Drosophila melanogaster: one gene and its partners. The protein of the gene in region 2 interacts with the protein of the main gene of each other region in a pairwise test. Each region holds a gene or a part of one and is shown on either strand. Other genes may lie near its edges. The genes, in order: hoe1, CanA1, CG10943 and NaCP60E.

The links.
Region 1: the proteins of CanA1 (region 2) and hoe1 interact in a two-hybrid assay, tested with the Drosophila melanogaster proteins (one large-scale study listed by BioGRID).
Region 3: the proteins of CanA1 (region 2) and CG10943 interact in a two-hybrid assay, tested with the Drosophila melanogaster proteins (one large-scale study listed by BioGRID).
Region 4: the proteins of CanA1 (region 2) and NaCP60E interact in a two-hybrid assay, tested with the Drosophila melanogaster proteins (one large-scale study listed by BioGRID).

What each region holds. Positions count from the first base shown.
Region 1 is NT_033779.5:4,928,142-4,935,486, forward strand, and holds the start of hoe1 (hoepel1), read right to left. Parts: upstream 4,244-7,345; 5' UTR 3,952-4,243; coding exon 3,773-3,951; intron 253-3,772; exon of another isoform or gene 53-252; intron 1-52. Other genes in the region: hoe2 (hoepel2), read right to left, coding at 5,144-5,818, 5,871-6,197, 6,255-6,643, 6,699-7,044, 7,122-7,294.
Region 2 is NT_033777.3:31,036,657-31,047,334, forward strand, and holds CanA1 (calcineurin A1), read left to right. Parts: upstream 1-2,717; 5' UTR 2,718-2,892; exon of another isoform or gene 2,893-3,328; 5' UTR 3,329-3,482; coding exon 3,483-3,654; intron 3,655-4,887; coding exon 4,888-5,219; intron 5,220-5,307; coding exon 5,308-5,419; intron 5,420-5,621; coding exon 5,622-5,767; intron 5,768-5,824; coding exon 5,825-6,042; intron 6,043-6,102; coding exon 6,103-6,196; intron 6,197-6,460; coding exon 6,461-6,586; intron 6,587-6,732; coding exon 6,733-6,814; intron 6,815-7,061; coding exon 7,062-7,139; intron 7,140-7,398; coding exon 7,399-7,483; intron 7,484-7,548; coding exon 7,549-7,646; intron 7,647-7,734; coding exon of another isoform or gene 7,735-7,890; intron 7,891-7,947; coding exon of another isoform or gene 7,948-8,124; intron 8,125-8,184; coding exon of another isoform or gene 8,185-8,334; intron 8,335-8,389; coding exon of another isoform or gene 8,390-8,449; intron 8,450-8,638; exon of another isoform or gene 8,639-8,905; intron 8,906-9,409; coding exon 9,410-9,735; 3' UTR 9,736-10,165; downstream 10,166-10,678. Other genes in the region: CG33920 (uncharacterized protein), read right to left, coding at 7,735-7,890, 7,948-8,124, 8,185-8,334, 8,390-8,449. UniProt on the Drosophila melanogaster protein: Calcium-dependent, calmodulin-stimulated protein phosphatase which plays an essential role in the transduction of intracellular Ca(2+)-mediated signals. Many of the substrates contain a PxIxIT motif and/or a LxVP motif.
Region 3 is NT_037436.4:12,859,604-12,865,990, forward strand, and holds CG10943 (uncharacterized protein), read right to left. Parts: upstream 3,318-6,387; 5' UTR 3,209-3,317; intron 3,155-3,208; 5' UTR 3,116-3,154; coding exon 2,189-3,115; 3' UTR 2,114-2,188; downstream 1-2,113. Other genes in the region: CG32107 (uncharacterized protein), read right to left, coding at 1-1,126, 1,195-1,681.
Region 4 is NT_033778.4:24,890,074-24,897,426, forward strand, and holds the start of NaCP60E (Na channel protein 60E), read left to right. Parts: upstream 1-1,540; 5' UTR 1,541-1,764; intron 1,765-2,210; 5' UTR 2,211-2,475; intron 2,476-4,010; 5' UTR 4,011-4,496; coding exon 4,497-4,533; intron 4,534-7,353. Other genes in the region: Ance-5, read right to left, coding at 1-838. UniProt on the Drosophila melanogaster protein: Mediates the voltage-dependent sodium ion permeability of excitable membranes. Plays a role in processing of olfactory information during the olfactory avoidance response.

The DNA of each region.
Region 1 (7,345 bases), on a different chromosome or scaffold from region 2:
GTCTAGCGACCTGCTGCAGCCACAACCCTGAACTTTCCAAGAAAAGTCTCACTTGCTTAAGAAGTTAGATTCGATGATAAGCTCACTTTAGGTTTGAATTACTTTTTTTTTCTCTTGTTGTTGTTTTATGCCCCTATTGTGCACTCGCTTGTTTGATTACTATTTATTTGTATAGCTATTGTTTGCCACTCGAACGCGGATTGCCGGACAAAGTCGCACGTCCGTTTCGAGCGAAAGTTGTAAACTGAATAAATCTGCGGACTCGGCGCCGCGTTCCTAGTTATTTCAGCCGGTTACTGCCGATTCCGATTCCGATGCCCATCCGATGCCCATCCGATGCCGATCCGATGCCATGCAGGCGTAGCTATAGCTACTTATTCCGATACTCATGTTGCTACTTCGTGCGGCGCCGAAGTCGCAGCTGTTTTCGGTTGAACGGCGCATTGAAAGCGCCGCCGAGAATTGAATGGAACTTGGCTGCTTTCAATAGCTGTTGAATGCCTCGAGGTTTTTTTTTCAGCTGGAATCGCTCGGATTCCAATGGCCAACAACTTGAACTTGCGTCTTTTAGACCGGCAGAATTTTAGTTGTTTATTTTATGAGAAGAGTGCTTTAAAAGTATCTCACGCACAACTAATTTGTATCGGTGGTTAATTATAGCTAATTATTATTTTATAGAACCTTAAGTCACTTAAGTCTAATAATAACATATATATTCGGTTACTATTGGTTACCTTTGTTTCTGTCTAATGTCTTGAAAATATTTTGTATTCAATAAGTTATTATGGGTGGTGAATCTGCAATAAATACATGTGATTCACACAATCTAATCATTTGTTTACTCCAACTTAAGTCTGCTCAATTAATCGGTAGACTTAATGCTATTCAGAGCTTAGAAGCCACGAGCAACCGGTCGAGCAATTAGTGCGAATTTAAATCACTTGTCATACAGCCCAAAAATAGTCATGGAAATGAGACGATACAGCATTTACGAGTATGTAACTAAGAGAATCACGCCGAAAGCTCTCGAGGCTTTCTCAGAAACGAAAGTGAAATCTGCAGAAAAAGGCAGCTTTATCAAATTTAAGGCCGTCCGCTTGTTTATTTATAGGCCAAAGTTGATAAATCCCACTGAAGCTTCCAATTCCGACAATATAGACGTCCACGCGCGGTTCCATTTGCATGTGTGGTTTGTGTGCCACATTCTCGTACGTTTTTGTATCTTCTGTATGGGCAGACAAAAGGCGAGTTTATCAGCAAACAGCTTCTGCTGTGCCCCAACTCAATCCAAATGCGAGACCCAATCCGAATCCCAAAAACCCTAATGCCACGGACAATGAAACGCAAACACACTCCAAGGAACTCAAAGTGAACTCGTGTATATATATATTATTTCTCGCCACGAGCCGTTTGACATTTGAGCGACTTTAAAGCTGGAATATTAATGCTCTTTTATTCCGCAATTTTCCTCACCCACATTCAATAAGACGATGGCAATAATAGTAATAATAACGCTGATGATATCCACAGTGAGACGCAATAGGTGTGTTTCTTCCAATAACAATTGTATCTTCGCCCAAGGTCTCTGCGGCTTATCCATCTGAATAATATGGGGCATGGGTGCAGTTGATTCGGAGTTATATGGGTTAAATGCTATCAGCAGTTACTTTCTCTTAACATTTCCGTTCTTAATACATTAATATAGTTGGTTGAAAACTGTAATACCACATAAGCCAAGCTATTGAGTACATTCCATTTCATAATAACAACTAATACATAATTCATTTCCACTCAATTGTGCCTCAAAGGTTGGCCCCCATAGAGACACATAGTACATTCCAAATTCAAGCCGGAACTTTTACAGCCCCTAAGCTCATCCCTTGGCAACCAGAAAAAGTGTATTTACAGTTTGTTGGAAAATTGTGAGCGGAAAACCCTCATGTACAGGGATAGTTATTCGCACCTCCTTCATGCCACCAAGCTACCCACCCAACAAACCATTGACAAGTTTCCACACATATCTCTACATACATATATGTATGTCATCGTGGGACCACCAAACTTGGGTTGCATGTTCCGTGGAGGGATCACGTGGTTCTGGGTGGACTTGAAACTACTGAATGACTTTTCATTTGCTTGTCAGAAAGTCAGCGTAAAAATGGGCAGCCACATCAAAGTGTTTAGCTGTCAGTGCGAATAACTTATAGCCCATAATCCCAACTGTATTTAACCCTTCCCTCTTTTCTTTAGTATCCATAAACTTTGCCAATTGGCCAACGGCAATTATCGATGTGTTAGCTGTAATTACTTGGTATCAGCCAATGCAAAAATGCAAATTAATTGCAACCAATATGCATACAGTACTTAGTGGATTCTACACATGGTCAAGACGTAGATGTATACAACAAATGCTCAGCGTGAGTAAATAAACAATAATTATGTAAATAACGAGCGCTTATATAATAAGCTAAGCTCACTTCAGGTTTGATTGTCAAGAATATGTCAAATGGAAACAGGGTGTCCCGGAAACTAGTTATAAGAAAAATCGTTAAGTTTATATAAATATATCATTTTCTGTATGAAATTCTGTTGCTTATTGTACATATTTTGTTGTTTATTATTCGTTGTTTATGAATGCTTTATAATGCTCCCAAGTATGTAAGTCGACTCCACACACCCTGTATATTTATGAGCAGCCTTCTCTATTGCAACCAAGTGTAACTGCGCTATAAACCAGAGAACTCAGTGATTTACCGTCTCGAGTTTTCCCTTTAATTGTTAATTAACAAGGCGGAACTTTTAATTGAGGACCAACTGCGTATGTAATTCGCATTACCCTAGGTTTTCACTACACCGATAATTTTTGTGTGGGAGTGAGTGCACTAATTTGAATACGACACTTAATTCGAATGCTTAACTTAATACAAAAAAACCTACAAACAGCTGCGGAGGCTGCTGAACCACGTATTTGCCAACGGAAATAGAGAACTATAAATAAAATAATATAATGCAACGCAAGTCAATATTTATTCCCCATTGTTTATTTATAATCTCCACATTGCACTGCGTACTTCAGTTTATTTTGCACGTGTCCAAGGTATTACATTATCGATTATAAGCAACCTATATCGAATGGTAGTTCCCAGAAGCGAATTGCTCGAACAAAAGATTGGCTTGGATTGGAAATGGGTATATGCCAACTATTCTTCGAATTATTCACACAAATTGCATACAACAATACCTTCGTGCCTGGCATTTTGTTATAACCACAAGCTAATGGAAAAAATCCCTAACAAAACAAAAACATGATTAATTCGGATTAGGAGTATCATTTCAATCAGAGTTTCGAAGAAAAGCGCATTTATTACTCTGCTGGAATTCCAACGCATATGGAGTATGAAATATACAAACTGCTGTGTCTGCTTCAACTAAAAAACAAATAAATTGTAATCAATCTCAATGGAAACCATCTGTTGCGGCTCTCAGCGGCTTAAAATCCACAAAATGTCCTCGAGTTGATTTCATCTCGGAAAACAAACAAGTCGCAACCAATGGACCGTTATTAAGAAGCTTAGCAGGACATTAAAAGGAAAAGTTTTGGGTCCATCATCTCCTGCAGCACAATTTAATGCCAGGCTAATGAGAAAACGGAACCGGGCAAATAAACAACTCAAACTTCGAGTGGCGGTGGCCAACCGGGCGTATACTTAATATCAATATAAGCTGACTTGCATGGGCCACCCGCGGCGTATACTTGATGCGGCCGACTTACCATTTGCTGCGATGCTTGGCATTCAAGTGCAGCCAACTGATGATCTCCTGCAGCTTCGTCTGACGCTCCTCATCCTCATCCCGATCGTCGTCGTCATCACCCGGCTGCAGATGATACGGATCGCGAGTGTGGTCCGTTATCATAAAGGTGGGCTTACTGTATCCATAGGGAGATGTCATCTTGGTTCACCTTACAAAAAAAAAAACCAACTCGATTTCGGCGTAATTTCGTACGCTTATCACATTTTTATTTGGCCTGCAGGGCGGCCAGTCTGGGCCAAATAAGCCAATTTCCAATTTTCACTTTATTCCTTGGCGCAAATTAATTAAAATTCAGTCAGTCGTTGTCGGCACGACTTTCCCTCTCGCGGCTGCCATAAAACTGCTGGCAGTCTCCTCTCCACATGGCGGACAGGTCGGGTCCTCCGTTTCACCTCCTCCATTCGCAATCCCTCGTGGCCATTTGTTTGTGAACTTAAAATACAATTTACCTATGGAACGAGCGCTGTGGAAAGTGTGGAAAGCGCAGCAGTAGCAGAGCAAATAAATAGCAACAACCACCCGAGGAAATCCCTCGCTGCTTTTCCACATTGTCTTATTCTCATTTATTGACCAGCAGTTGTCTTCTTTCCATATACTATATGCTATATACTCGCTTTTAATATATATGTATATGTACATGCAAGCACTTTCATATGCGGATATTCTGGTCAACATTGAACTTGGCAATGGTCAGTCTCAGGAATTATTTACGTTTGTTTATGTTTTCCAAACCAAGGTGCATATGGGATAAACTAGAAAACACGAGAATTATGATATTTATAATTTAACTTATTATATGTTTATATTGTGCTTTGAAATCTCTAAAATACAGACATCGCTTCGAATTTTAAATGTATCTAAATACTTGTAGAACTGCCTCTTATTGAAATTTGAAAATCAAATCTATAATTTTCCTTCGTTTTGTATTTATGGCCTGTTGAATTTTCACGATTTCCCCACTTCGACCTTAGACAATAAAGTCTAAATTTATAACATTTCACACGACATTAAAAACACCGCCTTGATGGACTACCAAAAGTGATTTCCATCAGTCCAGCCAAATTCCACGAAGGCGAACGAAAAACCATGTGTACTTTTATATTTATGGTATATTTTTATACATTTGCCAATCACAAATGAACGCTTAAATATAAATATTCTTATTTTATATGCCAAAAACACATGAAACACATCAAGAGGCGAATGTAAAAGGACAAAGACTACAGTAAAACTCACACAAAAAAACACACGATTAGATTCGAAGTGAAAAACATTTTCCATCATTAGATACAATAATATGTTATTCAGTATGTGTATTAAATAGGGAGTCTCAATGCCATTCAAAGACCACATGCGCCACCAGTAGATAGACAGTCATCAGGGTGATCTGTCCCAGCATCATGGGAAAAACTGTTCTCAGATATCGGGTGAAGGACAACTTATAGCCATGTTGCTCGGCAATTCCGGCTGCAATGACATTGGCTGATGCGCCATAGAGCGTTCCATTTCCGCCCATCGAAGCGCCCAGGGTCAGAGCCCAAACCAGTGGCTGGAGGGGCAGTCCCAGCGATGGCTTGGCCACCAGAGAGGTCACCAGCTTCACCATTATGGCTGCCACCGGAATACTATCCAATATGGATGATGCCAGCGCCGACATCCATAATATCATAAAGATGGCCATGGCCAGACGATGACTCTTTCCCACCGAAAGGATAACGTGCTCGGTGAGCTCACTGATGCAGGCGAAGATTCCCAATCTCTCCACGCATTCCATCATCACGAACATGGCGGCGAAGAAGAGCAGCGTGGTCCACTCGATGCGGTGCATCAAGTGCTCCATGTCATCGCGATTGAGGATGATCAGCAGCAGGATCACACCCAGCAGGGCCACCCAACCCAGGGGTAATGTCCTCCAGTGCGGCACGGATTGGATGAAGAAGCAAACAATGACGAAGAGTAGGGCTCCAGCGGATTGCAAAAGCAGCGTCTTGTTTTTGATGGGGTACTGGAAATGGATTGCTCAGCTATAAAGATCCCAGTTCAGTAAATCCACTTACTTTCTGCTTGAGCTCGTCCAGCGTATTCGTATAGACCTCCGTGGAGCCCACACCTTTTTGCAATCTTCTAAGGGTCCTTTTCAGTTGCTTAATCTTAGCCTGGAGCGTTCCCCTCACCAGCTGGGCATCCTTGGAACAGGAGGCCACTGCATTCAAGGCTCTCTGCCACACCTTCATCTCCCTACGCAGCTCACTCATCTCCTTGGGCTCATTGAGACGCAGTGCATCGATATTGTGATAGAAGAGGCGCAGGTACACACAACTTTGAATAACTGCTAGAATGACACCTGGAAATGTGTGGGCCACAAATGTGGGAAAAGTTACATCCTGAAAAGGTAGGGGAAATCTATATAACAGCTTGCATAACCTATATGTTATACCCACATTATCCACAATAAAGTGATTGGTGCTGACTATAATACTGATGGGATCTCCGATGGGCGTCAGGGCTCCTCCGATATTGGCATGCACTATAATGCCCATCACCACGGGCAGGGGATCCAACTGCATTACCTCGCACAATCGGATTGCCACTGGGGTCAGGAGCAGCACGGTTGTCATGTTGTCCAGCACACTGGACACCAGGCAGGTGACCAAACAGAGACTATATATCATGGGCCAGATCTTGCCACCCGATATCTCGAAACAAAATACGGCCAGGTAGTCGAATACGCCAGTTTCAGTCAGTATCAAAATGAGCAGCATCATGCAGAAGAGTAGAGTCAGTAGCTCCATGTCCATCCACTGGATAATCTCATCCATATTGGGACGATCTGGGGAATTTCAAATAATTAAGAAATGAAGAAATACCCGGGTTCTGTAACCAACCATTAAAACAGGCTAGAGTCGTCACCGAAAGAATGGAACATATCATGGCCACAAAGGTTCTTTCGAAGAGTTCCCAAACAAGCAGTGCATAGAAGATTAGCAGGATTACACCAGCCAGGATGCTCCCTGTCCTGGCATTCACTATCAAGGGATTATAGTTCAGAACAATGGCCAAATCCACCTCCACATCGCTATAGATATGCAAGCGAAATTCGCTGTTCTTTCCAGCCAACATTTCATCTAACTCCTGAGTCATCTGGTAGGTGCGATTGGTGGTCACAGCCGGAGCACGCAGCATCAGTTCCTCCTCGGAGAGCAGTGGTAAACGCCACGCTGGAAGTATATCCTGAAAAATCCAAAAAAAAAAAAGCTTACATCTTGCCAACTTTATATTCGATTGTGCAGTAGTTATGTAATACTCACCTGGAACACCTGGCTGTGATTCTCGCCAATGTAAGTGGACACCTGTGGCTGCACAGTCAGAAATCCAAAGCTCAAAGTCTCATTTTCGGGGGCATCCAGCGTGGAGAGCTCTCTAAAAGCGCCATGAATCTTCAAGCGGAAGTCACCAGTGGGTTTTTGGAGCAGCTTGAAAACTAATTAGAAAAACAATGTTCCAATGTAAATTAAAAAAATAAAAATAAATC
Region 2 (10,678 bases):
ATGTGAGCGCAAAAAACTTTCGGCCTGGCAAATGTTTGGCACTCAGAAGGGAAAACAATGAAATGGTGCAGAGGGGCTCGGGAAAGGGTCAAAGGTTAAGAGGGAACGAAGGCTTGGACCAGAAAGATACATAAGCACTGATAGCTGAAAAGTTTATCAATTTGTAAAACGACAGCCGCAGACATAAGGAGTTTTCCCCCCGGAAAAGTGTGGGAGCAATTTTTCCGAGCTGAGCCGTTCGTTTTGAAGAAAAGAGCTTTTCGTCGGGGTTTCTGAATCTGCTGAGCTTTCCACACGGACATTCGCCCCAATTTATTTGCTTTGAAATCAATGCAAATAATTAATTTAAATTAAGTGCTGGCCCGGAGGAAGTGTTTGCTTTGGTGCTTCCTTCTGCCAGCCATCGAATAGCCCACAAATCGGCCATCATTCACACATAACCCCATGCCTGTGGTCACATAACTCAAATGAATTGTTTATACAGCGCCAGAAACTAAACAGCAACAGCAACAGCAACAATTGCGATTGCGATTGCCGAAAAAGTTGAAACAATGAATGAAATGTTTGCGTTGCGTGTCAATATTATCTTTTTATTTCACTGCCGTTTTGTTTATGTGCAAAAAGAGAGAGGAAGCGCCGTTTGGCTTTCTGCGTGCGAGCATAAAAAACATTGTTTTATAAATACTCGGCCAGTGCGCGGCTATTGCTATTTTGGCACTTCTATTTTGGCCATGTCCAACGCAGAAAATGTATATCAGCCCGAAGACTAAGTGACATGCCGACATGACGAAACGGGTGTTCAAAGTGTCAGGCGCGAAATCTGTTGAAATGCGAACAACTTGACTCAACTTGACTGGCAAATTATTTAGCAAATCCCCAGCGTTTGCTCTAGCCATGGCGATCGGCTAGTCTCTAATTTAGATAATCTTGAGGTGAATCAATTGCGGGTGTCGGCCACTTAATCTCGGCCAGCTGACCGCAGTTGCCTCGCCTCCTAATTGCGCCTAAAATGCGCTGCCAACGGCATTTTGGGGCTATTTAAATAGCCGCAGATCGGAAACACAAGGTTTTGATGTAAAGGGAAGAGCAGTACGATGGTTGGTTAACTTAATCGTATGTATTTGCAATAACTCTAATTTGCAAACAACTATTCCACGCACTCAGTGTTTAAACAATAAAGTAGAGTAGTAAACCATACTTAAATACCTATTTAAATGCCAGCACAAACGTATGATATTTTTGAAACATATTAGTGATTGAAAATATATAGTGACACTTATTGAGCTCTTCTATTCCTCGGCGACACTTTCGAAAGTTAAATACCCCGTATTGCCATTGGATACCCCAAGAAGGATGGGGGGCTGGACTGGGCTGAGCTGTCAGCGCTTTTGCCAAAATTTCGCGTTGGGAATGCAATGCTCTCATCGGTCCGCCCATCGCACCCCGCCGCACCCCTTACTGAGCACTTACAGCCCCCTCGAATCCAATCCCACCCACTGGTTAGCACCGGAAAGTATTTCTTTCTAGTCTGCGGCGGTCGTGTGACTCGCTTTTGTCTCTCTGCGACTTGCGAATACGCGGGGGCGTCCAAGTAAAATCGTCTCCGCTCTTTGCCAAATCGAAAATCCAAGTGCCATCGATGCGCATTTGGCTGGCAGCGGGTGCATTGGCATTGCAATGGATTCCGATTCGGAGATTCCGAATGTGATTCCGAGTGCCCGAAATCGGGCGATCCATCCTTCCCAGCATATATTATGGAACTGTCTGTCTGTCGAGCGATATAGCGCTTCCCCAGCCAAATCGTACTACATATCAATTGACCATCGCGACAAACAACATTGACGGGGCAAAACACACATATTGTTTGTGGCTGTGTTTTTTATGTGGCCATCCCCATCCCCACACAGATAGTTGCGCAAATATTGCCACGCTTCGCATAAAAGTTGCATGAAATCGGTTCCACCAGCGAAGCATTCAAATGAAAAGCAGAACCGCGAATGCGCTATCAAAATATATATAAAAATCAACTTACTATACTATATTGAATGTACTACCCAAAAAACTGTATTTATTTAAATTTAAATCGTTAGATAAAAGCTTTTGATTTCTTATGTTTTTTAATTTTTTTTTTTTAATCAAATATAAATCTTATCCGAACCGAAACACCCCCTTTTAATTGTAGATCGCATATATTTTTGCACGAGGCGCGCACAAAGTCAAGACTATAATTATAGCGACACCCACCTATTGGCGCCCAATTTCTGGCAAACACACACTCGCGCTCAATCACACACAAACACACACACTCGGACGCACGCACACACAATCAATATCACGGTCAAGTTGAAAATCATTGAGAGCGGATGTGGACATGGAATGGGGCATGGAGGTGGAAATGAGGATGAGGATAGAGATGGGGATGGGGGTGGACATATCACAGATGTGTAAATGTCTGTGAAGGTCGAGCAGTCAGTCGCCCAGTCGACGATCGCAGAAGGGCAGTGATACGAAGAAGAGACCAGAGTGCGTGTGTGACATTAACCCAATAAAATAAACAAATAGATGGAACCCTACGAGAGCGTGGTGTATTCTTATTTATATTTTCATTTTCGGCGGAGAGTGGGAGTCAAGGGCGTGAGATCGGCCGATCACAGCCGATCTTCTTCGGGCTTTCAAATTGGGTCTTCTGAATGCCAAACGATGCCAGCGAATTTCGCTCAGTTTCGAGGAAAATCGCGTCGCGCCAACTTGGGAAATGCGTTGCGTCGTGTCCCGTGAAAATCATCGCGACTAAGGCCCCGAGAATCCCCAAAGGATTAGCCCGAAAATAATAACAATAATCGCAAGCGGCAAACGGCGAACTGCAAACAAAGTGTGACCAAAGTGATATATGTGTGTGCCTGTCTGGCCGTCTCTTCGCAAATCCATTGCTATTTTCGTTGTCGCTCGCTTTGTGGGCAATTAGCACAAAGTGTCGAGCAATTTTCCGTCTCAATTGAAGTGCTGCTTACCCTTTGCCAAAAGCATCCGTTAAACAATGTGATGACTTAATGAAAAGTTAATACGTCTCTGAATAATTGCAGCAAATTGAAATATTAATTGTTCAACATTTGTTTCGTGTGCGCTGCGGGCGAAAGTTGTCTCTATCTCGCTATATTGGCATTGCCTGGCTAAAAATACAAGAAAGTCCACAGCTATACAAATTATAACAACAAGTTTTATTTATTGCCTAAATATATTTGTGTGTTTTGTGCGCTTCTGTGTTGGTGTCTCGTCGTCCATAAAGACGCTAGGCAAAGGCGTATAATTATCTAAATTCCTGTGTTAGTAACACTTTCAGCACCAGCAAACAGTCAAGCCATTAAAAAATATATATCGAGCTAAGGCATCGCAAAAATCAGCACCAACAGAACGCAGAAAAATTAATAAAAAAAAATAAAAAATTTAACAAAAAGCAGGGGCCGAATAAATAATCAAGCATCATGTCGGCGACCTCCACGCGAAGTTCGGTGACGAGGAAATCATCGCTATCAAAAAGTTCTAGTTCAGACAAATCGGCAAAGTCCTCGTCGAATTCCTCGAAATCTCCGACAGCCGCCAGTGGAAACAAACAGAAAATGCAGTACACAAAAACCAGGGAGCGCATGGTCGATGGTAATGATCTCTACTCTCTATAAGCACTACGGACCCCAATCAAGCATTATCCCAAGCACGATTCCCTACTGCGATTGTATCTTTAATGACATGCGATCATGCTTCAATGGCATTCCAATGTGCTGACCGCCGTCATTAATGTCAAAACTGAGGGTTTCACAAATTATTTCCTTTGAACATTTCAGTCGGCGGAGGCAAGCGTTTCGAAAAGTGTGTTTTGAGAATTGGGAAGTCATGCTTGTAATTTTCAAAACAATAGCATGGCTGCACCTTCTCGAGGAGCAGTACATCGATCGTTAAGTTTTCATGTTTAAAAACTAATAAATGGACTTTTGAAATGGAAACAAACATAGAAAGGAAAACATTTTATAGCTCATGTAAATTTATCTAATTTCAAAAAATGTTCTTTGAGCAAGTTTCAATCGATTTATTTTACAGACCATTTTACAATGCATAATTGCTTATTATGCGCATTATTTATACATAAATAATTTACAGATTTTTAATAACCCATATATTCCGATGCAACTGCCATAAATGTGCTTTTATTAATCAATTATTCGGCATCGTAACTTAAAACCCTTAACTGAAAATGCGGTACTCGCTTTTGTTCTTTGGTTTATTGAGTCCATAAAAATTAATTTAATTATCTTCGAGCACCCATAACAAGCAACAACTGCAGTACATTGGCATTTTATTGGCCATTGCGTCAAAATTCAAGACATTTACCCAAATTATGACAATTAAAAATGGCGTTCGCCCTGACGTTTCGATGTGTGTGTGTGTTCGATTACGTTTGTTTGTTTTGTGTGTGCCAATCAATTTTCGACTTTTATATTCACTCAGTCAAATTTTGTAATTAGCGTACGAATCTCATGTGGCTGCATCTGGCGGAATTTCGGTTTTCTTTATAGCCGGGCCAAGAAAAGCGGCCAAACCGAATGAATATTGGCGCTAAGTTGCAGCACCTCGTTAACCCACATCGCCGTCGGACAGCGATGTTTATTATAATTCTATCAATGCAAGACTACACCGAAAAAAATTCAGGGGAACTGTAACAATACGAGAAACCCCATTTTCAAAGAGATGTTCCATTCACGTCATATAAGATACAAGATACAATATATAATTAACAATTGAATCCAGGGGCTTCTTCTTCTGGAAATGGGTGATAACAATTTACTTAATAATCTTTACTTAATAATTTGATTAATTTCTTTGTTACTCCCCTAGATGTTCCACTTCCGCCCACCCACAAGCTGACCATGTCGGAGGTATACGACGATCCGAAGACCGGAAAACCCAACTTCGACGCCCTGCGCCAGCACTTTCTGCTGGAGGGGCGGATCGAGGAGGCGGTGGCCCTGAGGATCATCACCGAAGGAGCCGCCCTGCTGCGCGAGGAGAAGAACATGATCGACGTGGAGGCACCCATTACCGTGTGCGGTGACATCCACGGGCAGTTCTTCGATCTCGTAAAGCTCTTCGAAGTGGGCGGCCCGCCGGCCACCACTAGGTACCTTTTTCTAGGCGACTACGTGGACAGGGGATACTTCAGTATTGAGGTGGGTCCATATGAAAATTGTATCTTAACTTATCAGGAATATATACTGCGTTTTCCATTTTTGTATTAAACGGTCCACTTAATTTCAGTGCGTTCTCTACCTGTGGTCCCTGAAAATAACCTACCCCACCACGCTTTCCCTGCTGCGAGGAAATCACGAGTGCAGGCATCTCACAGAGTACTTTACCTTCAAGCAGGAATGTAAGTTGGACTTAACTGAAGTTAATGCCAGAATTTGCTAGTTATGAGAAAGTTGATTTGTTTCCCGTTGATATAGATAAACTACAAAATGAGCAAACCTGCATGCCTCAGTCACTTTACGAACTTAATGCGCTTTTAAGTGCGAATATGCATGCTATAAATCTCCTTCCGTCGCTAATTCATTAATTTTTCTCTGTTGAAGGCATCATCAAGTATTCGGAAAGTATTTACGACGCCTGCATGGAAGCGTTCGACTGCCTGCCCCTCGCCGCCCTCCTCAACCAGCAGTTCCTCTGTATTCACGGCGGTCTGTCGCCCGAGATTTTCACACTCGACGACATCAAGACGGTAATAAAGCAGCGCTGAAATGTTTACAATATAATGCATCTGTGCGGATTTTCTCAGCTGAATCGCTTCAGGGAACCACCGGCCTACGGGCCCATGTGCGACCTGCTCTGGTCCGATCCTCTGGAGGACTTTGGCAACGAGAAGACCAACGAGTTCTTCTCGCACAACTCGGTGCGCGGGTGCTCCTACTTCTTCAGCTACTCGGCCTGCTGTGAGTTTCTGCAGAAGAACAACCTGCTGTCGATAGTCAGGGCGCACGAGGCGCAGGATGCGGGGTAGGATCGGAAGTACCATGGTGTAATATCCATATGATTATCGAACTCCTTCCGCTTCAGGTATCGCATGTATCGGAAGAACCAGGTTACGGGCTTCCCCTCGCTGATCACCATATTCTCCGCCCCCAATTATCTGGATGTTTACAATAACAAGGTATGAGATAGTTCCACCTCTCTCCCTCTGCTCACCCTGCTCACCCTATCTCTTTCTGGGTTGTTTATTTATCTTGCTGTTGTTGTTCCTGACTTTGCTATTTTTAAATAACGAAATCTTTTTTTGGCTGCATTGCGAGCTGGTGCGAGTTTAAATCGCGCTGCGTTCGCAATACCCTCTCTTCCATCTCTTTCTCCGGCACTCGCCCCGTCTCTTTCTCCGCTCGCGCTGATTTTGTCAACCATCGAACCCATTTGACAAAAGGCAGCTGTGCTCAAGTACGAGAACAACGTGATGAATATCCGCCAGTTCAACTGCTCGCCACATCCCTACTGGCTACCCAACTTCATGGACGTCTTCACATGGTCGCTGCCCTTCGTGGGCGAAAAGGTGGGTTCGCACCCAATCGGGTGGGATTATCTATGTATTTTGAGTTCAGTGATGGAACTAAGCCATAATACTCGAACTAGAACTTTCAAAAGTGTCTGAAATCTTTATACGTGATTTTAATATCCAATTTACCATGCCATTCAAAGGTAACCGAGATGCTAGTCAACATCCTGAACATTTGCTCAGACGATGAACTGGTGGCCGGACCCGATGACGAGCTCGAGGAAGGTAAGTTTGGGGATCCACAGAGCGATTCTGTCCGTACTAGACTGTGTGTCAATGTCGCAGTGCTTTGGATGTTGTGGGGCCAATACGGATACACGTGAATTACAAACTAATCTTCTATTAAAAATATTTTCCGAAACCAAATATCGAAATACGACAACTGCAATCTACTACCAACACCCATAATAATTTCTGTACCAACACCACCACCAACTTTCCACTCAAAACACGTCCAAAACACGACCAAAAGAGCTACGCAAGAAAATTGTGCTCGTGCCGGCGAACGCGAGCAATAATAACAATAACAATAATACGCCCAGTAAGCCAGGTAAGCCAGGTATTAAACGCAGGCCCAAAGTGAAGCCAAACAGTACCGCCAATGCAAATGCCACTGCCATTGCCACTCCCACTGCCAAAAATAAAAATGCCTGAGCCAACGAAAATCGCCTGAGCGAAGATAGCGAAAAGCTTAGTTATTGCCTTGCGCCCTGCTTTGATCGGCTTTTCAGCGAGTTTTCCAGCTGATTACCATTACATTTACCCCGTGACCCCGCGAGATTCCGTCTAATCGAGCCCTCAATTCGCAGCTTCCATGTCGGCGCTGCGCAAAGAGATAATTCGGAATAAGATTCGGGCCATTGGCAAGATGTCGCGCGTCTTCTCCATCCTCAGGTGCATAATGCCTCCTATAATCCCGTGGATTCAGCTAAATAATTCAATATTCCCACATCCCGCAGGGAGGAATCCGAGAGCGTGCTCCAGCTGAAGGGTCTGACGCCCACGGGCGCCCTGCCAGTGGGCGCTTTGTCCGGCGGAAGGGATTCCCTCAAGGAGGGTAAGTCAACACACATAGGTATTCTCAGGATCAAATTGATGTAATGCGTGTAGGGACTTTGAATTATAACATATGCCTTATAAATTAATCAGGATATAGTTCCGTACACTTTGACCACAGCCCTCCTTATGTCGTAGGCCATCCAATTTGTTTCGTATAGGTAATCCCCTTCAGGAACGGGAAGGACCTTTGTCACCTGGTGATTAACGAAGTGTATGGGTAGTTTTTCGATCACGAGATCGTGCTGTATAGAAAACCAGAAACATAAGCACAGATCGGATTTAATTAGGGATATACGCACATCGTAGGGGCAGTTGTGATTCATGTTGGTGAAGGGCCTAATGAAATCATAAAGGTAACTGGCTATCGGGTTCGACTTTGTGTTGTTCATGAATCTACATGCATCCAATGTGATATTGAACATGAAAGGTCTATAGCCATTATATCCATTAAATCGTTTGAGAATTACTCCGTTGATCTGAGAAGAGTAATTGTAGAAGAGAAAATGTTGTTAACCAAATTATTTAAATACCTTGACTTTGGTAATTGGCGTTTTAAATAATTTTGCTTTGATCGACACATACTTGTAGCTACGATTAACCGACTTTATGTAGCAATACTCAAAGTCGGAAAACTGTTTATCCAAAGAATTGCACATGATATTTGTGAACTCAAATTTCGATGATATCTGAGGAAGATTTTGAATTGATTCGTATTATACCTAATATTTTAATAACTCTTACCTCAACTATTGAAATTGAAAGAGCCAAAAGCGCCACTAAACCACAATGATTTACACCCATCTTTCGATATCGACTAACCAGTGTAAGTTGTTTACAGAACCCTATTAATATTCTATTGAATCAGCAACATAAAAACAATTTACAAAGCAATTAATAGCTCCACCAAGCCAGAAAATCATAATGAACCCACATTATAATGAGTTTAGTATAGTTTTTGTTATCAAAAAAAATAGTTTTTAGTGTCTACTAAAATACTTTCACCACAACTCAGTCGATGTCGTAGGCAATCCAGTGGGTTACCAGTTGGTAGGCTCCTTCGGAAAAGGGCAACTCCTTTGTTCCTTAATGGTTTACAAAGCCAATTTCCAGTTTCTCCACAATCAAATCGTGCTAGAATCGATCAATTTCGAGTTAGCCAACACAAAGTGTTAGGACCTACTCACACCTGCAGGCATCCACTGTGACATTGAACATGAATGGCTTATAGCCGTTGTAGCGCTTGAAAAGAATGGCTCGATTAAATCTAAAAGGAAGACTAGTTAAAAGCCATTACAATTCGATTTGTAGCGAGTTTTAATCTAGATGTTTGCTTGAATATGGTTTAATTATTTGCCTATCGCGGCCAATTAAACAGTGCTGATCGCAGACCAGCCATCGTTTTTATACCCGTTACTCATAGAGTGAAAGTGTTTCTCTGGCAGGAGATAATATAAATTCTTGATCAGGATCAATAGCCGAGTCGATCTGACCCTGTCCGTATGTCCGTCCGTCCGTATGAACGTTAATATCTCAGGAACTATAAAGGAAGGTTGAGATTAAGCATAATCTAAAAACCGAATATAACCCGTCCACAACATGGCATATAATCGGGGTAGTCGGCTATAGCATGCTGTCTTGTTACTAGATAACTAAGTAATAAACCTTCCTGATTAGTTTAATCGAAACTTTTTGCCAAGACACTGCCACGCCGATTATTAATTGAGCTGTTTCCCATCCCCGTCCGACTCTATGAACCCTCAGCTCTGCAAGGACTGACCGCATCCTCGCACATCCACTCCTTTGCGGAGGCCAAGGGCCTGGATGCGGTCAACGAACGGATGCCGCCCCGTCGTCCTCTTTTGATGAGTGCCAGCAGCAGCAGCATCACCACGGTCACAAGGAGCAGCAGCAGCAGCAGCAACAACAACAACAATAACAGCAACACCAGCAGCACCACGACGACAAAGGACATCAGCAACACCAGCAGTAATGATACCGCAACCGTAACCAAAACGAGCAGGACGACTGTGAAATCGGCCACCACCAGTAATGTGCGGGCAGGATTCACCGCCAAGAAGTTCCCATAGGGGGTGAAGCACTTGCCTGCTCAACACTGATTTCTATCATTTTCGTTTCGACCTTCTGTTACCCATTTAAGTTTACACCTCGTTAGGGTAAGGTCAGACGTGGCCATAAATTAACGCAAACTGTTGCCACATTCTAATTTCGACACAAAGTTCTGATAACTTCTCATATGAGATAGATAAACATGATACTAGGACACTAGCTTGCGCCAATTTATTTCAGTGCCTGACCTTAGCTGTAGTTAAAATTTTATACAACAACTTTCTCTAATGCTAGTCATAAACCAACAAATTGCACCCTGCGATTGCTGAGCTTTCGATTGCAGGTGCATACTTATAGAATCTCTCCGCAAAAACTCCCGGGCGATATTAGCAAAAATTTATAAGTGACATGAAAAACAGTTTAATAAAAGGTGGCTACAAATAGCTAAACAAATGAGTGCTTGATACTTCTTTTGTCTATCTAGTTTTTGAGAAGGGAAAAAATAAAATAACTTAAAGCAGAGACTATGTGTTTTACCTTGGCTTGAACGGATAAGTATGGGTTTAATCTAAAAATTGCTGTACCCAGCTATGTACTTTAGGTGCACTTCAACTTCACATCGCTTGAGCTCTCTAGTCAAGCGTAAAAATCAGCACGACCCGATGTAATAATAATTAACTAAATGCAAACAGAGGGGAATGAACGGGTCCAAAAAGCGCGTCACTTGCAGTGGAAGTTTCCCCATTCCCCATATTCTATTCCAATTTATCTGTTTGGGCATAAAGATAGCCCGGCGGAGCAGATTAAGATTTACAACGCTCTGTATGTCGACCATCTATCATCACCATCCCCAATGCTTTTCTATTACCACGTTTATGGTGTACGATTTCACGATTAATGGAAAGCGTTAAGTACACTGATTATACGACACTATTTAAACTTTGCTAATATCATTTAATTATT
Region 3 (6,387 bases), on a different chromosome or scaffold from region 2:
AAAGCCCTAAAGAGCTCCACCAATGATCCGCTCATAAGTTTTCCCTTTATCTCCAGACGTTTCAAATTTCTTAAATTGGCAAGAGGAGCAAGGATACTCCCATAACTCAGGATGCACTGTACAAAGAATTCCAGTACGAGCGTCACAGATTCGTGGCTATGAACGAAACGAATATTGCAAAATTCGGTTTTAATTTTATCCACTCGATTTGCGGTATTTGTAATCTCATTAAGTTGCTGGAGTTTAACCGCGATTATTTGCTCTATTTGAACAAATGAACATCGAATGGTGGTAAGCGTGGGTATGGAAGCCAGTACGGCAAGTTCTGCATCGGAAATCGATACCTTTTTATTGAGCACAATTCCGGTGATAGAGACCGAGAATTGTTCTGATGAATTGTGCATTGTAGCTGGTAAAATCTTGGCATCATACCAGCCTATGCAATAGAGACGATGTGCATGCAAATAATCTTCATCGAAGGCCAATTGCAATAGATTTGGATCTTTGGTCTGCCAATATTGATAATATGCACGCACGACGGCTAACGGTCTATGTGCCCTATAAGTCACTTTGAGAAAATCCTCCTCCTTTTCATTGTAATACGGATTGTCTGGATTATATTGCATGGGGTGACCCAGAATGTAGATATGAGTAAGTTTTCCGCTTAACGGCAAGTCCGAATAGATCGATTTATCCCGCAAACAGCACTTAATTGAAACCACTAAGCGAATGGATGCCAAGGCGATGGCCTCTGCATTGCTGACATATGTTTCCGGGATACATATGCTCTGGATGTGCTGGTGTTCTTGGAAGCGATTAAAAAGCTTCACAAGCGATCCCTCGAGATGCTCGCCACACAGAATTAATGACTTAAGTTGCGGCAAATTGGCCAGGGCTACGTACTCGGATGCATCTACCTCTTTCATCACAAAGCTCAGATATTCCAGTTGATTGCAATGAGGTACTATATCCGATAATCTGCCAAATATTTCGGAATTCCTTAGAATGAGTCTTCGTAGGTTTGGATTCAGTTTACACAGCTCGACCAGGATACTGGAATGCATTCGGACATTCAGCTCTAGTTTTTCTAGATGAGTGATCTGCGGCACGATCTCAAGGCTGAATCCTAAAAGCATTGATTTATTGATTAGTTATTCTTTTTTTTAAATTTAAATTTAAAAAATTTTTATCTACCATTTATGTAAACAGAGAGCTCCCTCAGTTTTGGCTTGACATGAAGCGATTTTATGAGGTCCTCAAATCTTTCCAAGTAATCACTCCAGTAACGTGTTGGTTCGTAAATTACCTTTAATGACTCCAGTTGTTCGTTATCCATAATGTGATTTTTGAAATTCATCCAGAACATTTTCTTTTCACTGTTCGACAATCCATAAATGTGCGAATGAAGATTTGAGAAATTAATCTCTACGCATATGTACGTATTGAGGAATGTGTTTTCAATACACAGCTCCTTATAAAGATTGAGACTCCATTTTTTGAACGTTCTGTTGAGATGATCACAGCAAATAGCAAAGTTTATAAGATCACTGTACTTTAAAAATATATCATTGGTTTGCTTGAATGCGCAGTTTTTGTGAATTTGACGAAATATTTCATATAAACAGTAAGGATTTAAGTTAAAAATCGTTGTTTTTTCTTCTAAACCAAAATATTCCATCATCGTTTCAAATTTGGCGCTAGCCATTCCCTCGAACAGCTAATTCTCACTGACTAACCGCAAACGAAAAAAGGTTTATTTTGGTTATTCGGTTATCTTGAATGATAAGCTGTCAAATGTAATAAAAAGCAAATTCTCTGGAACACCTTGTCTTTTGTATCAAAGGCTAGATAATACAGCTCACATTTTTTTATTGTTACTATTACCATTATCTAATTGTAAGATAACCATTTATTGATGAAGTATTTGCACTACAGATTAGCAATATAAAAATAGGGGACTTCCCGAAAAAATCAACGACCGTTGAATTTTTTATAGTAAATTGAATAATGGGGAAATATTTAAACGTATTTGGGAATAGCGGTTTAAAGGACCTTTTTTCACGAGGGTGGCAGCACCGTCGTCATTGAAATTCCCGCATGATGGCGTCCCCTTGCTGACATAAAGCTGAAATGTACAACATTCTTCTTTGCGATATAAAAGTATATATGTTTTATTAAATAAATTTGTTTACAAAGCGTTGGAAATTTGTTGACCCTCTGATGGTATAAGTTTATGGGTTTCTTTCACTCTCTCCTGATTAGATTGCAGTTTCATTATGGTAGCAGCTTGATCGTTTAATAGCTCATCCTTTTCCCGCGTTTTACAAGTTTCCAAATTTAGACCCAATTCCAAATATGTGATTTGGTCATCTTTTTCTTTAATCTGTGCCTTATGATTTGCTATAACTTTTGAGTTTTCACCATTTATTTTATCTTTCTCCTTTATTTGAGCCTTGAGTGAAGTTATTATCCCTTTATTTTTTTCCAGTGTTTCGCTTTTTTGGCCTATCTGATTTTTGAGGGTTGCTATAAGAGATTTATATTCTTTCTCTTCAGAAATTATCCTACACATTTTAACGCTTAGAGATTGGATCATATGTTCGTTTTCAATATTTTTACTATCGCTTTCTTTCAAACGAGCTTCGAGTGTTGCTATAAGATCTTGTTTGTCCTTTAGCTTTACATCATTGTCGCCTATCTGAGACTTTAAGGACTTAATAAGTTGTGAGTTTTCTATTTCCGTTTTAGCCTTCTCTTTAATCTGCGCTTCGAGGGAAGAAATAAGTAACTTTTTTTCCTTTTCGCTTTCTTTAAAAAAAAAAATTGTTGATCTTAACTTTGATTTATTTTTGGTTGTCTCAAGATCTTGGCTAGAGTTTAACTTCGCTTTTCTTAAGGTTGACAATTCCTCCTCTAGTTTTTCAATTATGCTTGCCTGAGCATCAAATCTATCCTTATAATCTGATTTATAAAGGTTGTTAGACATTTTTAAGGCCTCAATTATCTCGTTTTTGTCCTTAATTTTATCGTCAAATATGGCCAACTTTTCGTTGGCAATTGCCAATTTAAATTCCATGTCTCTTAGCTTATTTTCAAGTACCATTTTTAAGTTCATTTTCGGTTCATCGAAATCGTTGCAGTCACAATAATTCGCCTAAAAAGATAAATGCTAAAATTAATGTTCTTCAAAAAGAAATACTATTTATACCTTCGAAAATGATTCTGTGTCATCTGAACTTAAATGCAATATAGCGCTTTTACTTCTTGAATTCATAGCGATAGAAAATATGTAGACCGCATTGGTTGGTAGGAAAAAGCGAACTGAAAGGTTCATTTAGGTTTTTTTTCTATAATAATCGAATATCTCCTGGTGTTACTCATTGCTTTACAATAATCTAATCAGGAGTTTGATTAAATATTGCACACTTGATAAGGTATAGCCTCAAAACCTCGGAATTGATTGAGTATTATTTTTTTTGCCCTGCAATCTCACAGCTTTTCCACTTTCCCAATTTTATCATATAAATGTAAATGATTTTTTATAAGAATTTTGGATTTTCATTAATTACGAATCCAGATCGTGGGTAACATGTAAAATGAATACAAATTGAATCAATTAGACGGCATCCGCTTGGAAATGAAAACCAAAAGATAAAGTCTGGGAAAACGGGGGCGATTGCTTCGGCCAAATACGAATTAATTTATTCTTTTCCATGTTCTTTTCGGCAGTTGGCCGTTGTAAAATCATTTTCCATTTCGCTGGCGTCAGAAAATGGCAGGAAAACAGGTTAAGTCGAGAGGACAAGCAGGTTCAACAACAACAACAACAACATCAACAAGGTAGGCAATTAAATTTATTTTATTTCTCCTTCCCGTTTCGTTTTTAAGTTTCTTAAGCAAGTGCTGGAAATCGTAGACAACACTTTCGTTTCAGGACGAAGCGGAAACGATAGGCAAACTTTGCTGCACCAGGATACGCAGCCCCTCAATGGCCCCGCCCACTTCCTCTTCCACTCACTCTTCGAATCCGTTGCTTTACATAGATAGCGGAAATGCTTGGCCCTGTTTTCGGGCCCTCTCGATTGCATATGCAGCTACTTTTATCGATTGGCTGAAGTTTGCACTCCTTGCCTATATACATATATTTAGGCCTCGTCCTGCCAGCTTTTGGTTCCACCTCCAACGCAATGTCATTGTCCCTGGTCGACTATTAACCCCTTCTGCAGCAATGACTATGGGGCAAGTACCCTTGGTAATATTAAATAGTCCATATCCGGGGCCAATGAACCGCAGTGAAGTGATTAGGCCCTTGAAGTTATCATTCAAAAGTATTGAACTATCTAGAACCAAAACAGGACTTAGTTTTATTTTTACCTTCTTACCTTCCAATAATACTAATTCTTCGATTATTAGTTTGATAATGTATATTGGCTCGTTTAATTGGCCATTCTAATATATACTTTTATTTAATTATTATAAAATATTTAGGAATATATTTTAGAAATATTCAATAAAAGAACATTTCTTCATTGAATGATTGTATTTCTTCTAGTGTTATAGTTTTAAAGAAACAATGTTATTTCTGTTTATTAGATATTTATTATAATATTCTTAATATTGATACAACTTGCTTTACATTTTCGCAATGTCTTTAAATTGAATTGCAAATAAAAAGTAGTGTTTGCGACTTCAGTTCACCCTTGAGAACTTTCCCTTTAGAACAACTATTTGCCGACTTCTAACGACAAGTTAGTCTCCTTGGTAGTCGAATTTTGCACCACATTCAGTATTTTCAGGCGTGAGGGTTGGGGTGCTTCCGCCACATAAATTTCCATCGAATTGGGGGTCGAAAGGATGTCGAAGGGGTGAAGAGGGGATGCGGGGCTGGCTGGTATCCGGCGGCAGAACGACGAAGCACGATTCGCTGGGGCAACAAAAACAAGAGTGGAGCCAAGCAGAAGAGCAGCAGCAAACTACTTCTAATAACGACAATCAACGCTCTTCGGGTTGTTTGGGTGCTGTGTAATTACATGACAGCAACAGCAACAGACAACAACAACAGCAACAACAACGGACAGCAACAACAACAGCAACAACAACAACAACAAAACAACAACAACTGCAATTGCAGCAACATTACGAATTACGATAATAATTTCCATTTCTAATTTCCTTGCCACGCAAAAGGCCTTTGCACTTGCCGAGGCTGCCAAGCTGCCGAGCTGAACTGCAATCAACCACCCACCCAACATAGAACATCCTCCGACATCCAGAAAGTGACAGCACCACCCACCACCCAACACCACCCACTGCCCTTTTTCCGGCAACAACAGGCTAAACAGACGGCCAAAAACACTTGGATAAAAAATACGATAAAAGGATATTAAGGGAAGATGAAAGATTCTTTGAATTAATTTTGTAATATTACTTCGATAATTTGATATATTTAATGAAAGCAAGCCAAAGAAATTCACTTTCTTAAGAAAGTTATATGAAGTTATATAATAATATATATGTACATAAAACATCTATGAAATTTAATATCAATGCAATGTAAAGTATAAATTAACATACTTTGTAGGTTACATAAAATAAAATTAACTTTATTATTCATATTAAATAATGTATTAAGTCTAACGATACCTACTTTGACGTATTAATAATAATAATAATAATAAATAAAATTCTCGTTTTGTTTCAGTGTACGCAATTGGCGAACGCTGGTTGAGGTGCTGGCCGTCGAGCCAGACGTTGGCATAATTTCGATGCAGAAATCTAACAGAATGCAAATGCAATCATTGACTTTTTAGCTTATAACGAAATAAGCGTCGTGTTTATTGGTTGGCTGAACGAGCACCAGCTTGGAATCTACCCCCCCCCCCACCACCACCGCCACTACACCGACCCCTCGCCATTATCCATCGCCTGGAAAAGTGAGGAAAATAGGAGAACATTGCCGGAACTGTGGGGAGTGCACTTATAAATTCAAAGCCTCGGCGGGGCTACTAAGTGGGTGGTGGTAACAACGGGTGGTTCCCGAGCAGCCGCAACTAAGAATTTCACACAATCTAAGCCTAAGTTGGCCAAAGTGCACAGACCAGATGTAGAGAAATTTGTTGTTGTTCCTAAACCATAAGTACTGAGTTACATAGAAGCTATTTGCAAGATACTAAATTTATATTATTATAGATTAAATGCTAAAGCTCTAGAATTAAACACAAACGGTACTTGAATCTTCAGAAGAAAAGTTATTTAAGAGAGAAGTAGGAGTAAGCTTCTGATTTCGCTTATATATAAATAAAAACTAAAAAATAAATACACAAATAAATAAAATAGTAAATCTTAAACTGGCGCTTAACTTAAATCGCTGTGCTCTTCTTAAATTCC
Region 4 (7,353 bases), on a different chromosome or scaffold from region 2:
GATACCAGTCCTGCGACAGGATCTGGTCCATAATGGGAGCGGAGATGGCGCCATCGCTCTTTGTGTCCGCCTTTGGGTAGGCAGCTTGCACCTCGCGACGCAAATAGGCGTGCAGTTCTCGATATAGCGGCATTATCTCCCACACGACCGCCTCCATTTCAGCTTGAAAGTTCTCCGTGTCGTAGTTAAGGTACCACGTGCGCGAGGGCGTCACATGCCCGTTGTAAGTGGCAGCGATCCGGAGAAGCCTAACGTAGCCGATGAACGTGTTCTTGGCCACGTCCTTCTCGTTAATGGCCCTGCGCCAGGCCTTCCAGTTGATGACCAGATCCTCGTATAGCTTGGTGTGCATGTTTTTGTTCATGATCTGCGGGTACATGGCCAGCGAACCACGGGCGGAGCAGTCCTCGTAAGGGCAGACCAGGGGTCCGTTGACAAAGTTATGGATCTGACGTAGAAGGTCCTTGGCCTGCTCGTAGTCCTTTGGCCGCAGTCCCTGCAGCTGCAACTTGGCCATTCGCTGCACGCGCCTACGAAGAAGTGGGTCATTCAATTCAGCCACTGACACAACGCTGAGATTGCCCGCTAAGTCGTAAAATAGTCGATAGGTCTCCGCCTCTACCTCCAGCTTGGAGTTGAGAACCTGTCCGCCCAGAGGTGACTTTCCTTTGGCCGTGAGCTGCACAAAGATCCTGCGGTTCAGACTCCACACGTGGCGCATGCGGTCTTTGGCTCTATCAAGTATCTGCTTGGTAGCCAGTTCATAGCTGGACTGGCCGATTCCGAAGGTCACGGAGAGCAGAAGGATTAGCGATACTCCTAAAAAAGGCAACCGCATTTTGCCTTCGCTGGCTTCCGTTTCGCCTTGATAAGGTTATCGGAGTGCTTTCGAATGCGACTTGGGATTTGCTTCCGACTCTGACGAAAGCTCGAGCAGAACTGAGTCCAGACTGCCAGTCGAGCCGCAGGCTTATCAATCTAAGTCCGGGGCATTGAGCTTATCTGTAATTGGGAAAGAAACCCAGCTAGCGATCTCTCCAAGCAAACGTTGCGTATACGTTACGAGCTTGGCATTATTTATACGCTGAGTGTGCCAGCCCGAGGCGGAAATCGCAGTGGGCACGGCGGGGAAGACATCCTTACACCATAATAGACTGATTAACAGCTGCTGGTTTTGTTAGCCAGTGGCCCATATTCAAGCAAAATCATTTTGACATATTCCTTCCGAAGAAGAGACAGCGGAGGTAGTCCTTTGCCCCGCGGTGCACCAGCGGAGCATTCGGAATTTAAATCGGAGAAATATGGGGAAGTTCGTCGTTCGTGTTGCATGTGGCACGGCATTTGTTTATGCCGGCTGACCTACAAGCAAACGTGAGGGCGCAGGGGGACTCTGCTCACGAAGGCGAGCGTGAGAGCATTTCCCGCACGAGTCCTTTTCGAGAGAATAGGGGGAAGTTCGCGTGTGTATTTTTTCATCGCTCTGCATCGTGGTCGCCCTGCAGATTACGTCAAACGGAAAGGAAACCCGTTAGCCGAGCTCAGTCTCCGACAAACCTTAGAACCGAGCAGTCGCCATGCAAGCGCACGTATTTACAGTGGCCCAGTGTCATAGTGTCCTAGTATGAAGTGAAAAAATCAAGGAATATGGTGAAAAGTGAAAAGTGAAAGGCAGTAAAAAGCCTGAAAGGGCATGGAACATAGCGCGGAACTCGCACCCCTACAGCCGCACAGTGAAGCGCGTTACCATCACAAGTGCATTATTCGGTGCGATGAAAATTCTTCAGCGCCCAAAAATAGAGTGAAATGTGTGCTGCATATTGTTGTTGCTGCTACTGAGTTGCTTAAGGGAGGGGGAGAGGCCACGACGGAAACTAACCTACATTTTCGCGCTCTTTCGCACGCTTTTGCTGACACACACACAGGCACACGTGCGGTGCCAGAGAGGCCACCGTGCTATCTCTTTCGCACTCACCCTTTGGGCCGCGAAAGAAATCAACAGTAAATTGTAATAACACTTCTTAGACTGCCAGTAGGCTTTTGCATGTGTGTGTGTGCGTGTGTCAAACAATGTGCGTGCCCGAAGTTTTTTGCTTTGTTCTGTTTTTGTTGCTGGTTCCGTTTCAACATCCCCACCCACTCACAGTCACATTGTTGCACAGTTGCGACTAAATAAAAATGTAATTAATGTAAAATAAAATCAAATAAAACAGCAGCAGGAGAAAAAACAACTGGATCGGGAATGGTGATTGAGCCAGTGTTGGGAAGTCGATGTTAAAGTGCGAGTGAAGGCGAACGTGTGCAAATGTGCTTTGTGTTCGTGTGTTGCAGGCCCAAGAAAGTAAAATACGAAAATAGAAATAGAAATTGCCGGAGTGCAAACACACAAGCGATTACATAAAGCCCAACTAGCATCCCCAACATCCGACAACTGCAACCAGCGGAGAATAAAAAAAAATTGATGGCCAATGCTTAAAGGTAAAATCGGATATTCATACGCGTGTGCGTGTGTTAGTGTTTGGGGGGAAGTTTGGGTTCCAACGCAACAGCAATGTCCTGGTCATAAATTAGCCCTTGATGTGCACTTAACTAGGTGGCCACACTTTCTCTTCGTTTCGAAGCGCTTCGTTCTGTTCGCACGAAGGAGAGAGCTAAAATGGCGGAAGGGGACCGATAACAAAATTCGTAGCACAACTTTAGGGGCCAACTGGCAAAGCTCTGCCAGCCGCACTTTTATGAGCCAACTTTAAAACCAACCGCTGGTCACGCCCAGAAAGCAGAAACCAGAAACAGAAGCGAGTATCCCCGCCCCAAAGAGAAAGACCCCACCGAACAATTGAAAGCCAACAACACACTGCTTAATGCCTCGAGCGCCGCTCTCATTGTTGTAATAAAAGTGTTTTTGCCGATTTGTGTGTGTCTGGGACAGACCAGCAAATGCAGGTGGATCTCCAATGGCACACGACAGCCCAGCCTCCAGGCGTAATGGCACATCCCTGCCACTGCCAGCGAATTTCCGCCAGCAAACATCACATCAACTGCCATAACGGGGTGTTGGAAACTTAATATTGAATATTTTATGGGCGCCTTCATCTACCGCTTTTCCATTTTTGCTGCCAGTTGCGAGTTGCCAGTTGCTCGCAGACGTGTCAAGAAGTTTGCGAGAAACACAACAGGAAGCGCCGGCCTACACAAGCACCTACACACCCATACACATGCCCATATATGCACAACAATGCCGGGAGCAGCATCAACAAAGCGCTGAGCAATGAGCAGCCCCCGACCCACGCCACAGCCTACGCAAGCTCATTGCTTTTTCGTTGGGCGCCATTTATCAATTCTTGTATCTTACTTGTGTTGTGTGCGTCTGTGGAGAAGATGCTAGATTGTGTGTATGGGTGTGCCCATAATGTTAATTAACTTTATCTCGCTCAAGCTTTAAGTCTTGAAGCGGCACTCATTTCCCGGCCCTCGCCACAATTCGCATTCTTCCCCTTCAGGTGCTTATCTCTTCCGTTACGCACATAACACATACGTTGGCCGAGTGAGTCGTTACGTTGCGTATACGTACTGCACTGGCAGAAAGGTTTTTCTCAGTCTTGAGGAAGTCCCCATTGAGTGCTGACTGCTATCTTTGTTTCACGGAACCAAATCCGTACATTTGTTCCTCTTTTCGATTGTCTTGTATTAATTCACAGTATAGTAGTAGTAGTGAAATAAAAAGGCTTGGTATTTGAAAAAAATTGGCAGAATGAAGAGAAATTATAATCGTATGTGTTCAAAGGACACCTTTTTTTTATTTTAAGGTCATCAATCTGAAGATTTTTTCTGAGTGTGAGCCGCGTGCCTTGGTTCGGGTGCTTTGAGCTGTAGGGGATTAGCGCGCTGCCAATTAACGTTACATGACACGACGCAGAGCAATTGCGGGCAGAGGCGATTTAATTTACTCTCATTCCCCCTACTTGCATAAGCTTAAATCTTTCCACTTACATCAATCTCTTTCTCTCGTTTAGAAAACATACGCATCGCATCGCAAAATGTAAAGCAATAATCAGCACAACAAAGCCAAAGCTCACAATAGAAGTAGACGACCAGGCTGAGCAACTGAGCTGGGACGATGCCAAATGCCATTATTGGAAACGGTCGTAGTCATAAGATTTGCATAGTATAGCAATAGCAGCAGACATCATGAAAGCCCCAAGCGTGATAAGCACAGCAACAATAGCAACAGCAATAGTAGATACTAGGCACAACATGGTTAACAAAGGGAACGGTGACAATATAATCGGTAAACTGAGCGATCGACTCGCTTGAATAGTGAGATAGACATATGCCCAGTGTTCGAAAATCGAGTGAGAAGCCTGGCAAAAGAGAGCGCGACCAAGGCATGCAGCTGCCCTAAGGACCTCGCCCAGGACGACGACGACGACGGAGTCGAAGGACCAAGAAGCAACCGCAACCAGAGGCAGCACCCAACAAAACGACGACAATCAGTCAAGATGAGTGATGATCAAGCGACGTTCAACGATGAGAAAGGTGAGTCCCCTAACCGCTAAGCCCTCCTGATACTGCTATTGATAGTTTTCTAAGCCACCCGGCCTCATAAATATTATTCCCGATGTGACCAGGGGGGAGTTGGGTAACCGGGAGGCCATCAAATCTGTATGCGGGAGTATGCATGGTCAGGGGGCAGGTGTCACAGGGCAGGACTTCTGCTCCTTCTCCTTCCTCAATCAGGTCCTCCGACATCCTGACAGCGACACCTGCACGCCAACCAAAAGAAAGACGTGCACAGTGGTTCTGCACACACAGAAGTCTTTTGACTGGAGTTGCACGACTTCTTTCCATAGAGAGCAAGTTTGTTTTATTTTTTACAATTTTATTAATTTCTCGGCCTATTTAAGTTCACTTCTGCATATTTTTATCCCTGAAACCAACAATTGGCTTAAGAATAAACTAGCAGGTCAAGTTATGAGCTCAAAGATTGACATTCTTCAACAGCCACCCACAGTGCCATATAAAAGGCAGTTGGGGTGGGGGGACCAAAGGCATTTCCTTTTTGTGCGTGTTGAGCGTTTTCCTGCCACTTCCCGAACTCCTGTCCTGCTGTCCGGTCCTGCTCATCAACATAATTAAATAGCATTGCTCATTGTGTGCCGGTTGTGCCTTGGATACGGGGCATGTGCTTGGGTCTGGGGCACTTGGGTCCTGTGTCCTGGGTCTTGGCCAATAAAACGAAAATGGAATCGAACCAGCTTAATGGCGGGGCAGAGTGACCCTAAGGCCGTTTAAATAAATGATAAACAAATCGAAAATGGGAAGCGCTTTTGTCGGACCGAAAAGTTTCGGCTGATGACTGGCCATAAGTTACGCAATCGTTTTTGCAGGCGCCGATAGAGAGCGCCATTTGTCCTTACAGCAGGAGTGAGTGGGTGGGCCTTGGGTTGATAAGTGGGCGCAGGGCGCCATTGTCAGCGGAGTATATTCACTGGGGAGGTGAACAATGCACAAAGGCCAGCAGGCGCTGCCATCTGCGGATTACGAATATGAACGGAAACGGAAACTAATTAAATATGTAGAGCAATTGTTGCTGCATCTCGCTTTATCCTACCGATTCACTTTTTCACTTTTGTTTGTCCCGCATCACTGCAGCCAGTGTTTCGGTTTCTCCTTCGGCTCGGCTTGGGCTGGGGCTTGGACCGACCACCTTCCTTTCCGCCTTGCCAGTCTCGAATTGGATTTGGTTTTTGGCCAGGGCCAGGAAGCAGTCGAGAGCAAGCGCCCCAACTGCGAGGGGCGTAATTGCCCTACCCCCTAAGCCTCCGCTCCGAGTCCAAATCCCAATCCCATTTCAATTTCCATTCCCATTCCCGTCACCATTGAACTTGCTCAAAGGTCTGCGCAGCTGCAACTGCAACAGAGGCAGCAATGCCAGTTGCAACTGCAACAATGGCTGCACTTTAAACAACAAACTTTGAAAGTTAAACCAGGAAATCCGAAGCAAAGCATGCAGTACATAAGGAGTATCAAGAGAGCACCATAATATAGCAGAAAATCGAATTGACTTTTTCAAGACTTTCCCCACAATTCTAAAACTGTTGCCCACAATCTCGTGAATCACTTGTAGCACACCTTTTTCTCTCTGTGTGTGGATGCAACTGGTTTTTTGGGAAAACCACGACATTGCACGTCGCTAGTTGCTTTTAGTTTCTGTATCGGTGTGCAATTTCCTTTTTGTTTTTGGGCGCTTTGAGAATGACTTTGCTTCCGCGTGAAGATGCGACGGCAGGTCTGGAGTTTCGAGTCGCGAGCCCGGGTCGATTATGCAATATGGGGAAGATGTGCGTCTTCGTTGCATCTGATGTTAATGTGCGACCGCCAACCGGTTGCCCATCGTCATTGCCGTCATCGCCGGGGCAGCAGAAGCAGCTTCATCATCGTGAGCGTGGCCCTCTCTAGCTGAAGATGTAATCCCCATTGAAAGATGCTCTGATGGCACTGGAGTGCAGCCCATTTGCTCCAGCTCAGCGGCTTCCAGTTCGAACTTCATTCGGCACAGCATCGTGATTATGACCGGCGATGTGGCTTTATTGGCAACAGATTATTGCGTCGGTGTCCCGCTTGCTGCTCCCAGCTAGTTCCTTATGTAAGCCCGCTTTGTTTACAATCCGAAACAGTTTAAATGTATATTAATTATTCGGCAGTGATGGAATCTGCCGAGCGAGCAGTCAGCTGCCTAGCTCCGTAGCTGCCAGATGAGAAATGATAATCAGCGACGTAATCGAAATGGCCGGATGGCCCCGATTCGCTGGCTCGGCCCAAGTCACTCACTGCTAATGAAAACAGTGGCTAATCAACGGCGAAAGCATGGCGGCGGGGGTTGTTGGGGCGTCCAGATTGGTGGGTGGGTGAGTTGGAGGTGTTGGGTGGCCAGTGGCCATGACCTCTCTCCGCTGCCAGTCGGACATCTTGCTGATGTAAGCGCGAACAAAACCCACGGCGCGTTGCCTTTTGCCCATGTTGCAGCGCGGGGGCATGACAAGATATTTTTGATGTTGCTGCAGGCGAGGCTTAACCCAATAGCGCTCGAGAGCCTCTCGCCAAACGGCGACCTGACCTGGCCCAATCCAAAGAACAGTAACTGGCTCCTTCCCTGCCTCACAGCCGCGGCACCACTGCTTCGCGTTGGTAAACAAAATTATATTGATAATTTCCGGCACTGGTACGGCCATCAATGGGTTAATGACTAGCGACAGTGAGCAGCCAGCGGGCAGCAGCCAACCCGGCCAACCCTTGGCCAATCGTTATGCAAGTCTGGACCAACAATAAGGAATTGCCAATAGGAAGTTCGTCGTA